Nothobranchius furzeri: one gene and its partner. Each later gene encodes a partner of the first gene's protein in a complex. Links are inferred from orthologs where the notes say so. Each region holds a gene or a part of one and is shown in the gene's direction. Other genes may lie near its edges. The genes, in order: ptpn11a and pdgfrb.

Region 1 (6,712 bases):
GGAGACGTCAGATGAAGGACAGTTGATCACAAAAGTCCTCGTTTGAAACTAAGCTCATTTTCATACCAGACTTATTTTCACAGCATTTGTAAATAAGCATCTGACAGGTATGGGTTTTCCATCTCTACCTCCTCAGTGCAGTTTCACATCTGTTTCCATTAGTAACGGGTACCAGGCTGAGTTTTGTGAAACTCCCAGAAAGTAATCATTACATGTACATCAACGACTGAATAGGTTTCTAGATGACCACAGCTAATCAACATCACAAACATATTATACCTCTATTAGTCAGCTAAAAGTTGATCACAAAATCTCTGATTGCTTGATATTACATCAGGGTGTTTTATTAGTAATAGTAAAATCAGACGTTTTTCAACAAAAGCTGAACTAAATGAACATAAATGTTTCAACAGAGTAAGTGTGTGAAGTACTGGCCAGACATGTCTGCTCTGAAGGAGTATGGCGCCATGCGTGTTCGCAATGTCAGGGAGACGACCGCCCACGACTACACCCTACGAGAACTGAAGCTGTCCAAAGTTGGGCAGGTAAGCTGTTGGTGGTTTGTAGGAATAGTTTTATTGACCATTATGACTTTAGTATTAGTTAATGGTTAACTGAAAAAACATTTTTAATGATTATTTCTGATTATAATCGGTCACTCTTGAGTTTTAATGCAGGTTGAACATGAAAATAGTTTCTTACACCAATCTCCTGCATTAGCTTCTGATAGAAAGTAGACGGTGAATTGGACTTACCCATATTGACTCACGGTGGGGAAGGCTGTTGTTGTTTTATTGTCCAGAATCAGCAGAAAATGTCTCAGTAAACCGAAGATAAGCGCTAGCGTTAGCAACTCACTCACACAGCTGAAGCTCCTCCAGGCTTGTTATTTGTGGAGGTAAAACATCCATGTCCCCGAGCAAACAGAGTTAGTGGTAGAGTCGCGTTGCTGTTGTCCAGTCTGAGGCAAGATGTCCAATTATCTGCTGAGATAGGGGTTTGTGGGCTTTTTGTGGCCTGAGTTCTGCCTGCAAGGCATTCATTCCTACTGGAGACTACTGCAAATGTATTGGTTAAACGAGTGATCCACAACTTTAAATTGTTTTCTTCTTGGGGGTCTGAAAATTATTTTCATTTTACTGAAGTTCTTAGTGACGCACCATCTAAACATTGTTGTCAGGCTAACACAGAACGCACAGTGTGGCAGTACCACTTCAAAACCTGGCCAGACCACGGTGTTCCTGCTGACCCAGGTGGTGTACTGGACTTCCTGGAGGAAGTCAACCTCAAACAGGAGAGCGTTGCTGATGCTGGGCCAATAACGGTACACTGCAGGTAGGAATCTAAAAGACACGGGGGCGGCGGCGCTGGAGGGAAAACCTTTACTCCGTTTCTGTTTGGTCTTTTCCAGTGCAGGGATCGGGCGGACAGGAACATTTATTGTGATAGACATCCTGATAGATGTGATCAGAGAAAAGGGTGAGTTGGCTTTTCATCAGCACAAGGTATACATTAGCTATAACACAAAAACATACTTTATTAATGAGCCCTTCAGCTGAACAGCAGGGTACAAACTAAAACATCCCTGTTATTGTTATTAAAATATTCTCTCATCTTTGTCTCTGTAACATGCTGTGACTTTAATAAAATTCACCACATGAACGATATATAAAAAATAACCTAAAGGAATGAATGTCTGTACATGTCCTTGTATCCACGGTTCCCAGAGGTTTTAAACTTTTAGTCTGTAGTTGACAAAGATAAAGTAAAAAGCATTAAAATGAAGTTTGTGCAACAATCAGAAATTCAATTCAATTCAAATTCAAAGATACTTTATTAATCCCAGAGAGAAATTAGAGAGCAATTTTTCTGTTGCTGCAGGGGTGGACTGTGATATTGATGTACCAAAGAGCATCCAGATGGTTCGTTCTCTGCGCTCTGGGATGGTGCAGACGGAGGCCCAGTACAGGTTCATCTACATGGCTGTGCAGCACTACATAGAAACCCTGCAGAGGCGCATAGAAGAGGAGCAGGTGTGCAGCAGATGCCTTGATTCTTCATTTTACTCCTTTTTTTGTGTTTTCTTCTGTAGCCATTCTCTGTGTCTCTTCAACAGAAAAGTAAGATCAAAGGGCGTGAGTACACCAACATAAAATACTCTTTGTCTGACCTGAGTGGTGGAGAGCAGAGCCCTTTGCCTCCTTGCACACCCATTCCCACTCCCACCTGCACAGAGTGAGTAGACAGAAATGATCTGCTGTTTGACCCCATGTCAGGTTGTGTCTCACTGAGGGGTGTGTTTGTCAGGATGAGGGAGGACAGCTCCAGGGTCTATGAGAATGTGAGTCTGATGCAGCAGCAGAAGAGCTTCAGATGAGACTGACCTTCAACAGCAGAGTGCTGCTATTAATTCCAGGTAATTACAACAACACAGAAATGATAATATTCAGTGTTACATCTGTTGTTCGTGTAAACAATGCCAAACATAACCTAGATAAATGGAGATATTAACATAATAGATCAGAGCAGCTCCTCTCCTTTGGAACATTTCATTTGACTTTATTTGTAAAGCCCCTTCCACGACCTTATCAGACGCCCATGGTGCTGGACAATACAGCAGGCAACAAGTACAAATAAGATGATATAAAATGGCTATAAAAGCATAAAACCTAATAAAAGAATACTGCGCTTCGACAAACGGAACGTAAAAACCAGCAAAGAAGGCAACTGGCACACGAATAAAGGCAACTCATTCCATAGCCTCGTAGCCAACACTGAGAATGCAGTTTTATCATTCGTCCTTATAATGAGGTTCACCTATTATATATTTATTATAAAGTTACCGAATGTCTTAATTTTCTATCTTTCTGTTCACTTTAACTATGATTCGATTCAGATCAAACAAATTAGGGCTGTGCCATACCTCCAGTTTGCCACCTAAAAAACACACATGCTTCAAAGTGGCTGAATAGTTCCTGTATGTGTGGCTGCTCAAATCAAATTTAAAATGTTTTCTGTTGCTCTTACAACAGCAGTGGTTTCATGTCTGAGGCGGTGGACAGCATGAAGAGAGACAGCCGCTGTGTCTCAATTCAGGGTCTGCATCCTTCGAAGGACCCGGCCTACTCGGCCGACGTGGGCTGGGTCCTCCGTCGGCCGAGTAGACCGGATGTTAACGGCTGTGAATTTGGACAGGCCTAGCCTTCATGATTTCCCGCCACTCCCTTGGCGAACGTTCCGTCGCCTAGCAACCGTGGAACCGCTGAGCAGAAGGGAGAAGGAACTTTAAACGATGGAGCTCGAAGTTTTATTTAGCTTTTTAATAATTTCCTTGACTGTTGGAGAGCTAATTCAGAGAAAATACTTTCGACAAGCTGAGCAAAGATGTGATAATAGTTTTTAATACTTTCTAAGGGTCTTAATTTGACCAAAACCGATTTATCGCCTTTTAAGACTTTTCAGACCCAGCGGGATACCCTCTAGTAAACAATTCTCATTTGTAAACAAAAATAAAATTCAAGAGTTTAATACAGAACTGATTTTATTTAGATATTTCTTTTATATGTACATGTTTAATCTTTCTTAACCGTTATTTCTAGTAAAGTAAAAAGCTGTCAAAGTTCTCCCTTCTCTCCTGAGCCCTCTGCTGCTCTGCCTCCCTCTGCAGCCTCATGCCCTCCCTGATCAGCTCCAGAAGCTGGTCATCGCTGGCACCTTCCCCTGGATGCCCATTTTCTCCAGAATAGTCTTAACAAACATGTAAGAAAAGAAACAGGAAGAGAAAAGTCAGAGAAAGGAGGACAACAGGTTATTCCTTTCGTGTTTTCGCAGAAAAAACTAAACTTAAAATATGAGATGTTATTGTACCTCCATGCCACAGCCGCCAAATGCTTTGCTCCAGTGATCATGTGGTCCATCTCCGCCCTAAGCTTAATAAATTCCCTGGTTTTCTCTTTTGTCCCTAAAATACAAACTCCTATTAAAATCAGGGGTAAAACGTAGCGGGAGAAGTACGACACCGAGCGGCCGAACATACGAGCCGAGACCGCAATACAAGCACTTTTACTGTAACATTTCTAACTAAAATAACGTTCATGTATCACAAAAAGTCCTTAAACTGACAGTTTTCAAGTTTATACTGACATTCATATGCGCAATCCTCTCCGACAGCTCCCGCTTCACGGTATATGATAAAATTGTACTAATGGTACCATTGAAATGTCATTTGTCTTAAATACAAGTTATTTTTGTCAGCCTGAATTTATACCCGAAAATAAAACTTTATTTCAGTGAAACTCCGCCCACACCGACAAAACGTGCCTACAGCAGTGTCTTAATCCAAGTTTTTGCTTCAGCGTCAGCTCCACAAGGGAGAGACGCACAGAGACATTTTGCTCTTGGACTTTTCTGTCTCCTGGGGAGACCCCGCCAGGACAACAGAGGGTGTAGCGCTGTTCTGGGGTATCCTGTCATGTATCGGGTCCAAGAAAGTGCATTTAATATTCTGTTTATATTGTGTTTTTTGTATTTCAGATGCTTTTTGACAGGGACAAATTTGTCCCTCATTATGCGCTCACCACCTCTAAATCTACGTTTCCTGTCATTTCAGTCCATGAATAAAATGCTTGCTGCGCTTCTTTGTACTCCTCCAGTCATGAGTGAACAAAATGTTCATATTTTTAGAGTTTTTCCGCAAGGTATTCTTCAAGCTGCTCTGTGTCTACCGCTAGATATCTTTGGCTCTCTCTATGTTTTTGAGAGCGCAATGGTGGCGCTGTTGACGACAGCGACGTCCTGACCAATCACAAGCTTGTGTTCTCTGTCTCGTTTGACGGATGCTTAGAAATGCCTCTAGGCCAGATTGCCGTTATAAATGAGAATGAGTTCTCCATCGACTCACCTGGTTAAATAAACATTAAATAAAATAAAAGTGAGCTCGACTCCGTCCGTACTTGCGAGCCTGCTGGAGAGCCCTCGCAAGGACAGATAATGGCGTTGCGTGTCTTCATACAGACGCAGACCCATAAACTAGGTTTGGTGCCTACCTGCCATCCCATTTGTACCAGGTGCTGACGTGGGTTTGAATCCCTGTGGTGTTGGCAGTAATTAGTTTAGCCAGCGTAACCAAATATTTCATGTTTTTATATTTTAGTTTGATTATTTCCTACAAAATATTTGGAAGTCCAAAACATTGAAAGCTATTGCTATAATAATGGAAAAGATGAAAACTGAATTGCTTTCAAAGGTATTAATTAAAATATAGTTAATAATATGCATTGTTTTACCAGGTTGGGCTGCCTGAATGCTTTTTTTCTCTCACTAAAACACCGCTCTAACACAGAACACTGACACTTTTTTGCATTCGCAGTTTGGTTTAGCGCAAGACTGCAAAGGTTTTTGCCATCATGGGGAAGTTGTGCTTTCAGTTCAACGTAATATTATCATGATAAATGCCTTTCTGCCCCTCCCTCTCACACTAGCAAATGATGCTGAGAGGACAGAAAATGAGCAAGGGAGACAGATTACCCCAGCTTTGAATAACATCGGCCATAGTACCGCCACCAAAAGAAAGAACCACAAATAACTGACCAAATTCTCCTGGTCCTGACGAGCTCATTACTGTTGTTCAAGCATCAAACTCCTGCAGCCCAGGCCCCGCCTCGCCGACGCTCGTTGCTACAGACATAACCTGAGGAAACCTCTGGATGTGTCTGGATAGTTGAAGCAACAGATTCAGGGTCAGTCAGGAGCCTGCAAAAAATTGCGCCGTTGGCGATCACATGATAGTGTCGTCAGAAAACACGTACTTGATTAGAAATCATCGTTCAGCCCTATTAATAATTCAGATGTTCAGCAAGTTGTGTGAAAACCTTCCTAGTGTAAAGCCATGGCATTACGCGCTCTTGTCAGAGTAAATGTGAAGAACCTTTACTTTGCAGAAAGATGTTCGAGATGATTAAAACGAACTTGCAAAAAATAAAACCTTAAAACCAGGAAACTGTTTAAAATTAAGCCAGAAGAAAAACACCCTAATTACAATATGCATTGTTATTCCCTTCCAGGATCTTGATACCTGACAGTTTTCGCCAGCCACACCTTGAAGCCTGAGACTCAACCATGATGACGCAGGACACTGGGGGGGGAGAGGAGAGGGTGCCTAAACAGAACAAACTAAACTACGAGGGAGACCAGACACCAGAGTCTGCAGCGGCGGCACCTTTTTCTTGATTTTTCTACACAAACATTTTCCCTTGAGTTGAATTTGAAACCACTGTGATCGTCAGAGGAGAGGCCTAACCAACTCATTGAACAGGTTGAGTTCAGCCTTTGTCCATCCGACCTAACACGGGTTATCAACAGGGAGCACTCTCCTCTCCTCAGAGGGACAGACACAACTAACCTTCACTCATCTTGCTTTTTTCTTGTAATTTTTAATGACCAAAGTAACAAAGATTTTGAAAAATACACAAGGAGTTTCTTGGAAAAGGCTTGTGCCAAACCCACAAGTATATATAAATATATATTTTTAAGCTACAGTTTGTAAACACTTAACACGTTATTAATCTGGTTAGCCTTTAAGTGCGTTCAGGCTGAAGGAGATGAGGGTAACATTTCCAGCCATTAGTGTCAGTATTCAAAACAACATCACATGATTTAGGATTCTTAGAGAGTTTTTCTTTTTGGTGTGGAACCAGCTGAAAGAGAAACTCAA
Region 2 (6,712 bases), on another chromosome or scaffold:
CAGGTGAGGGTTACAATCCAATCTAGCAACAAGTGAAAATGAGGGGTTTGTCTTGCAGGAGAGCAAGACCTGTTTTCAGTACTTTTAAGGCAAATTAATGCAGTTAAAGGGGACATATTATTACCTTTTTCATAAATTTTAAATAGTTCTGTGGTCAATAAAAATAAGTTTATTGAGTTTTTTTGCATAAAATCCCTCTCACATAAAGCTAACTCAGCTGTTTATTCTTGACGTTTTCAGAACCTTCCAGAATGAGCCGTTTCAGGGCGCTTTCACTTTATTTCGTAGGGGCAGCAGTAGCTCAGGAGGAAGAGCGGGTTGTCCATTAATTGGAAGGTAGCAGGTTCGATTCCGACTCTCACCAGAGATTGCTGCCGTTGTGTCCTTGGCGAAGAAGCTTAACCCGCCTTGTGTGCTGGTGGTGGTCAGAGAATAGATGGCGCCTGTGTTCGGCAGGCCTCGCCCTTGTCAGTGGTCCTCAGGGCAGCTGTGGCTACATCGTAGCTCATCCCCACCAGCGTGTGAATGGGTGTATAGCTACGTTTACGTGCTCCAAGTTTCCCCAATCCGATTCAAATCTAGGTTGATCGGAAATCTCAAATCTCTGTTCATATGGACACTAACTGAAATTATCCGATCATGCCGTGAGTATACTTACACCAAGCATTCATTCAGATTAAATAGGTTGAGCGTGTGTAGAGTTGTCTTTCCCGGAAAAAAAAACATGTAACCGCACATCTTCTCCCTCATATTTTATTTTCTTATTCTCTTTGAGCGTTGTTCGTTAACTTACGTTCCACTACTTTTGCTATTTCTGATTTCACACACAGAGACTTTTTGAAACAGCTTGATTTAGCACATAGTTGCTAAAACCAAACACTGAGAAAATGGATGAACGGGCTATTTCTACGTTTGGAGTGTTTATAGAGGTGACAGAGACCCACATGGCAGCACAAAAGTTGCATAATATGTCCCCTTTAATGTTTATTCTCAAATTAAACAGACAGTGAAACAATACATACATTTTAATCACATATTTTATAATCACAGATTATTTCCTTTAATTAATGGAAAAGTATTTAAAGTGTAATTTGATGAGCTGAATTTTGACCTCAGCACATAGACTGTAGATCAGCTGTGAGAAAACAAACGCTTTGATGTGAAGGATAAATGACGCATTCTGAATGATTTTTAATCCATCTGTCACTGAATAGCCGTCCTCATCCTCCTACTCATCTGCTCCAGACAGCTTGTATCCATCACCGGGTGGAGATAGACCAGGATCTGACTTACACTGTTGACTTGACCTCTGAACTCGTTGCACCATGTATTTGAGCCCCTCCATGCTGACCTCCTATTTTGTTGCGTAAACTGCAGCTTTGGTGCTTTTCTGCGCTGAAGTTAGCAGCCTGGAGATCAAACCTGATGGCAAAGCGTTCGTCCTGAATCGAGGCTCCACTCTCAGCCTAACCTGCTCCGGATCCAGGGAGGCAACCTGGGCGTTTAAGACAGACGATCTGAGTCAGCGTCTAAGAGAGGGAGATGAATACGGACGACAGATTTACAAAATTGCGCAGAAAAATCTGACGTCCAGTGTTCTGACTCTGCGGAGTGTGAGCTGGAGGCACACTGGTGTGTACCAGTGCACTGATGTGATCACAGGGGAAACCAAAGAGGCGGTTGTGTTTGTCCCTGGTGAGTTCTGCTTGTAATATCTTAATATTCCTAAATGCTTTCTGACAGCTAATGAGCAAACTCACGTCTCGCTGCAGATCCTGAGGTGTGGTTCATCAGTCACCACGGCGCGGTAGCAAAGACCAGTGAGGAAAGCACCATCCCCTGTGTGGTCACCAACCCAAACATCACCGTCACGCTCCACCAACAGGACAGCGGCCGGCCAATCAGAGGCCTGTATGTTCCTGGAGAGGGGTTCAAGGTGGCGCTTGAGGACAGGATGTACGTGTGTCGGGGAGAACTGAACGGGGAACTGAGAGAGTCTCAGAATTTTAACGTCTTCAGCATTACTGGTAAGTTTCCAGGTCAGACAGTTCAGATTTATTCAGTCTGAGCCCAAAAACCCAAAAGAAATAACTCATAAGAGAAGAAACGGCAAGATTTAGTACCAGAGTTATTTCCTTTGTGACAATCGCTATTTATTATGTTGTAGTACTTTTAAAGAGATTGAACCAAAGAGGTCAAAGGTCAAATGTAGCTCTGACTTGTTAGATTCAAATGTTGTTTTTAACGTTTGCTTTTGTGCAATTAGCTGATTAATGATGACTGAGGTCAGCTTGTTGCCCCTGTGATTTGTTAAATCCATGCTCTCCCCTCCTCTCCGTCACCCTCGTCTCTCCTTCCAGTCCCCAAGACCATCGACCCCTACATCAACGCCACAAAGACGGTGCTGAAGCAGGGCGAAGCGCTGACTATAAACTGCACAGTGCACGGAGTGGAGCTGGCAGATTTTTCATGGGATTTTCCCAACAGGGAGGTGAGTGGGAGCGGAGCAGAACAAGAGCTTTTGTTTCAGCTTTCTCCTTGTGTTGTTGTTTTTGTGATCCCTGTGCGGCCTCCTGACCAAACCCAAAGTGCATCAAGATGTGAAGACACACCTCGATCCTGCTGTGTAAATGCTTTCACAACATCAGGAGTGGAGAGTGACCTGTTTCTTCCGATGTCTGTTATAGGGGAACCTTGTGTTTTTTATTCACTGTTGAAATCATCTGTTAAAAGGCAAATTAAACAATTAAACTTTATTGCTAACGCAGGATTCAAACAAAGATTGCACCTAAAACTATTTTACAGATTAAAAATGACCCCACAAAGCTAACTTGTGTAAATTTGATCCTTCTGGTTTCCCTCTCTCCTTTAGCTCATGGAGGTTGAGCCTCAGATGGAGTACCTGCCCATCGCCATCATGCGCTCCTGGCTCCTCTTCCCTCAAGTCACCGTAGCTCATAGCGGCACGTACGAATGCCACGTCATTGAAAGTGTTGTAGGACACACAGCTTCTGCCAGCATCCACATCACCGTGCTCGGTTAGACACACACACACACACACACGCGCGCACACACACACACACACACACACACAAACACACACAGCTAAAACAAACTGATTCTCTGAAGATTATTATTGGGTTTGGCTGACCGACTCTTATGTTAACACTGGGATATTAAAGCAGGAGAAGGGCTGTTTAGAGGAAATGAAAACCCGTTTAATTTGTTTCTGCGGATTATGTCAAATAAACTTCGGCCCCAGCGTGAAACCCCCGAGTGATTACCTTGAAGCTCACACCTGCAAATCAGAGGGAGCAGCAGCTCTATATTTAGACTTTAGGTGAGGATGTGTTTGTGTTTCTGGGAATTTTCTTTAAACAGAAACTCATATAAATTTACAACACAGGACTTGGAGCCAATAAAAACAGGATTCCTCTGACTGAACTTGTTTTTTCTCGTGCTACGTCCACCCCTGCATGCACGTTGGGGGTGTGTTTGCTTACTCCATCTGCAGCGAGGTGTGTTATGTTTTAAAAGACCTTTAAATAACTCAAACCTCCATGTTGGATGGAAACAGGAGACCAGGGTTGTTGTTAGTTTTGTCTAATAGACAGGTCTGCCACCCAACGCGGAGGCCAGATGAGTTTGATTAATGTCAAACTTTGCATATATAAAAGCATTACACACATATTAAATGTTTTTATTAGGCATATCACATCCCGCTCGTTAAGAGAAGATTGTGGGAATAATTTTGGTCAGACTCAACAAAAAATTCTCCACTGTTTTCTTCTCACAACATTTCTGGCCAGAAGAAGTGAACAGAACCTGAGAGGATAAACACTTTCCTGGGGGCTTGGGGAATGCGGCACCTTAGCCCATCTCCTGCACACGCCTGTACACGGTGGCTCTGGATGTTTCTACTCCAGACTCAGTCCACTGCTTCCGCAGGTCCCCTAAGGTCTGGAATCGGTCCTTCTCCACAATCTTCCTCAGGGTCCGGACGGTCACCTCTTCGTGTTGTGCAGCGTTTTCTGCCACACTTTTTCCTTCCCACTGAGGTGCCTTGATACAGCACTCTGGGAACAGCCGATTCATTCAGAAAGTTCTTTCTGTGTCTTACCCTCTTGCTTGAGGGTGTCAATGATGGCCTTCTGGACAGCATTCAGGTCGGCAGTCTTACCCATGATTGCGGTTTTGAGTAATGAACCAGGCTGGGAGTTTTTAAAAGCCTCAGGAATCTTTTGCAGGTGTTTAGAGTTAATTAGTTGATTCAGATGATTAGGTTAATAGCTCGTTTAGAGAACCTTTTCATGATGTGCTAATTTTTTGAGATGGGAATTTTGGGTTTTCATGAGCTGTATGCTAAAATCATCAATATTAGAAACAATAAAAGGCTTGGACTACTTCAGTTGTGTGTAGTGAATCTAATATATATGAAAGTCTAATGTTTATCAGTACATTACAGAAAATAACGAACTTTATCACAATATGCTAATTTTTTTGAGAAGGGCCTGTGCATGCACAAAAAATACCACAACTCTAAAGGAAAGCTTATCCTGCAACTCAATATAAATATTCTGATTATCTGATTGTTGCTGATGTCAGCTAAGATATCACTCAGATAAATAAATCAACATCTTTTTCTAATTTTATTTAAAATACATTAAAATTAACTATTTGTAGGTTGTCGTGTTGTTATGCCAACTTTAAGCTCACTGGCAGGTTTAGAATTACAGTTACTGGATGAAATAAGAAAGAAAACATACTGCAAATAACAAAAGTTTCATAAAACATTTATATAAAACCAGCAAATGTAGATGATTTTGTGACTATGGAACATATTTCAGAGCTGAAACAGAAGAAATGCCCTCACTAAAGCACATTCCCAGTTTGCTAAATGTTTTAATTTAAACACAGATGCACTACACGTGAGCAGTGGTTCATTCCTGCAGACGTGCACTGTTTGCATGTTTCTGACTAGAATAGAAAAACAGACATGCAAGAAATACTTAAAAGATTAAATAGAAAATGCTTTACAAAGGCTTGTTTTCTTCTCAGAACACGGTTTTGTGGACATGAAGCCCATGCAGCATCAGAGGATCTCAGCCAAGCTCCAGGAGAACGTGGAGCTGAGGGTGGACATCGAGGCCTACCCTCCTCCTCAGATTCTCTGGACCAAAGACGGCACCGCCATCAAGGGAGACACAGCCATCCTCTCCAGACAAGAGCATGAAATAAGGTGGAACAGCTCATCTAAATGCCTCCTTATATTTAAAGAATTATCAAAAACTTTGGACAGTCCAGGAGCCTCCAGAGGCGATCTGTCCGTCACCACCAGATGAGACCTCCACAGAGAGAAATCCAATCCTCTCCAGAGGGAAGGAAGCCATCTTTCAGCGCACAGGAACCATAAACACTAAATACCTATCACAACTCCCTAATGACCCTCAAACGCTCAACAAAGCCTGGGCTCTTGCCTTTTCAACCAAAACGATCGAATTAAATGGGATTTTAAAAGTTCATTGTTGAAAAGCCTCGAATCAATCAGTAAATCAGAAAAGTTCCTGTCCAACAGTTCTGCTTTTGGCTGAAATCGTCAGAAGATCATGTTTGATTATTGAGACGTGTTTGTCCTATTAATGGTGTTTTTCTTCTTTCTTTTTTCTTTTATTTTTTCTTTTATTTTTTCTAATTTTTACAAATTATTCATGTAGGTTAATCATTCATGTTAGAAATGATTGGAAAACAACATACCATATTTCAAATTTTTATCTAAACATTCCCATAAGAGACGTTTTTCCGTAGTCCCTGAGAGCCTCTCTGATGGAGGTTCTAACAAAACGTTGAACCTGTGGACATTTAGCTCCAGACAGAAGTTAATCTAATCAAACCCAAGAAACTCCTGAAAGATCGATGATTGTTTTTATTTTCCTGACAGCTTGTTCATTTGGCTTTTGCCTCAGGTATCTCACCATTCTCACCTTGGTGAGGGTGAGGGCGGAGCAGAAAGGCCTCTACGCTGTCCTCGTTACCAACGGAGACGACACGAAGCAGGTTGTCTTTGACTTGGAGGTCCAAGGTGTGAAAAAGTTCTCACAAACTCTAGAATGTTTAAATATTTGACACATTTTTGTTGTTTTTTTTCTCCACAAACATGTTTTTAAAGTAGCGTTTGAAGGCAAACTCAGTCATGATTAAAGCCTCCGCCTCCATGTTTGCAGTTCCAGCTCAGATTAAAGACCTGACAGACCACCACCTCCCAGGGCAGGGACACTTAGTGACCTGTGTAGCAGAGGGGTTTCCAGCTCCCATCATACAGTGGTACAGCTGTGACAGCATGCTGAAGTGAGTCACACACCCCCTGAGAACACAAGAGGGCTCCACTGCTGCTGCAGCTGTTCCCATCTCACCCGGTGTCCCGCTTCAGGTGCAACAACCAGTCTGCTGTGTGGCAGCCGCTGACCCCGCGACCGGAGGAGCTGAGCATCCAGACCAACGCCAGCTACAATGAGACTCATAAAATCATCCAGGTGCGCAGCAAGATGGTCTTCCTCAAGCCTCAGCACTTCACCGTTCGCTGTGAGACCACCAACCGAGCCGGACTGGTCAGCAGGAGGGATGTCAAACTGGTGTCCAGCAGTAAGTGCCACAAGATGTCAGACCTTTTATGTGTCATTTACACTTAGATAAGGAACACCTGAAGATTAGGAAA

What was found.
Region 2: the proteins of ptpn11a (region 1) and pdgfrb are in contact, whole or in part, in a crystal structure (PDB 1AYA), measured with the Mus musculus proteins. The link is inferred for Nothobranchius furzeri from reciprocal best matches to the Homo sapiens genes PTPN11 and PDGFRB. Residues at the interface, in NP_001103462.1 of Mus musculus: Gly13, Val14, Glu17, Arg32, Pro33, Ser34, Lys35, Ser36, Thr42, Thr52, His53, Ile54, Lys55, Leu65, Gly68, Gln87, Leu88, Lys89, Glu90, Lys91, Gly93, Ile96; in NP_032835.2 of Mus musculus: Ser1005, Val1006, Leu1007, Tyr1008, Thr1009, Ala1010, Val1011, Gln1012, Pro1013.

The regions. Positions count from the first base shown.
Region 1 is NC_091746.1:40,325,652-40,332,363, reverse strand, and holds the end of ptpn11a (tyrosine-protein phosphatase non-receptor type 11), read left to right. Parts: intron 1-413; coding exon 414-545; intron 546-1,180; coding exon 1,181-1,335; intron 1,336-1,411; coding exon 1,412-1,479; intron 1,480-1,881; coding exon 1,882-2,033; intron 2,034-2,116; coding exon 2,117-2,235; intron 2,236-2,307; coding exon 2,308-2,377; 3' UTR 2,378-2,416; intron 2,417-6,062; 3' UTR 6,063-6,292; downstream 6,293-6,712. UniProt on the Homo sapiens protein: Acts downstream of various receptor and cytoplasmic protein tyrosine kinases to participate in the signal transduction from the cell surface to the nucleus. Positively regulates MAPK signal transduction pathway. Dephosphorylates GAB1, ARHGAP35 and EGFR.
Region 2 is NC_091741.1:96,097,553-96,104,264, reverse strand, and holds part of pdgfrb (platelet-derived growth factor receptor beta), read left to right. Parts: coding exon 1-3; intron 4-1,377; coding exon 1,378-1,695; intron 1,696-1,772; coding exon 1,773-2,027; intron 2,028-2,360; coding exon 2,361-2,491; intron 2,492-2,872; coding exon 2,873-3,038; intron 3,039-5,058; coding exon 5,059-5,239; intron 5,240-5,963; coding exon 5,964-6,079; intron 6,080-6,221; coding exon 6,222-6,345; intron 6,346-6,427; coding exon 6,428-6,639; intron 6,640-6,712. UniProt on the Homo sapiens protein: Tyrosine-protein kinase that acts as a cell-surface receptor for homodimeric PDGFB and PDGFD and for heterodimers formed by PDGFA and PDGFB, and plays an essential role in the regulation of embryonic development, cell proliferation, survival, differentiation, chemotaxis and migration.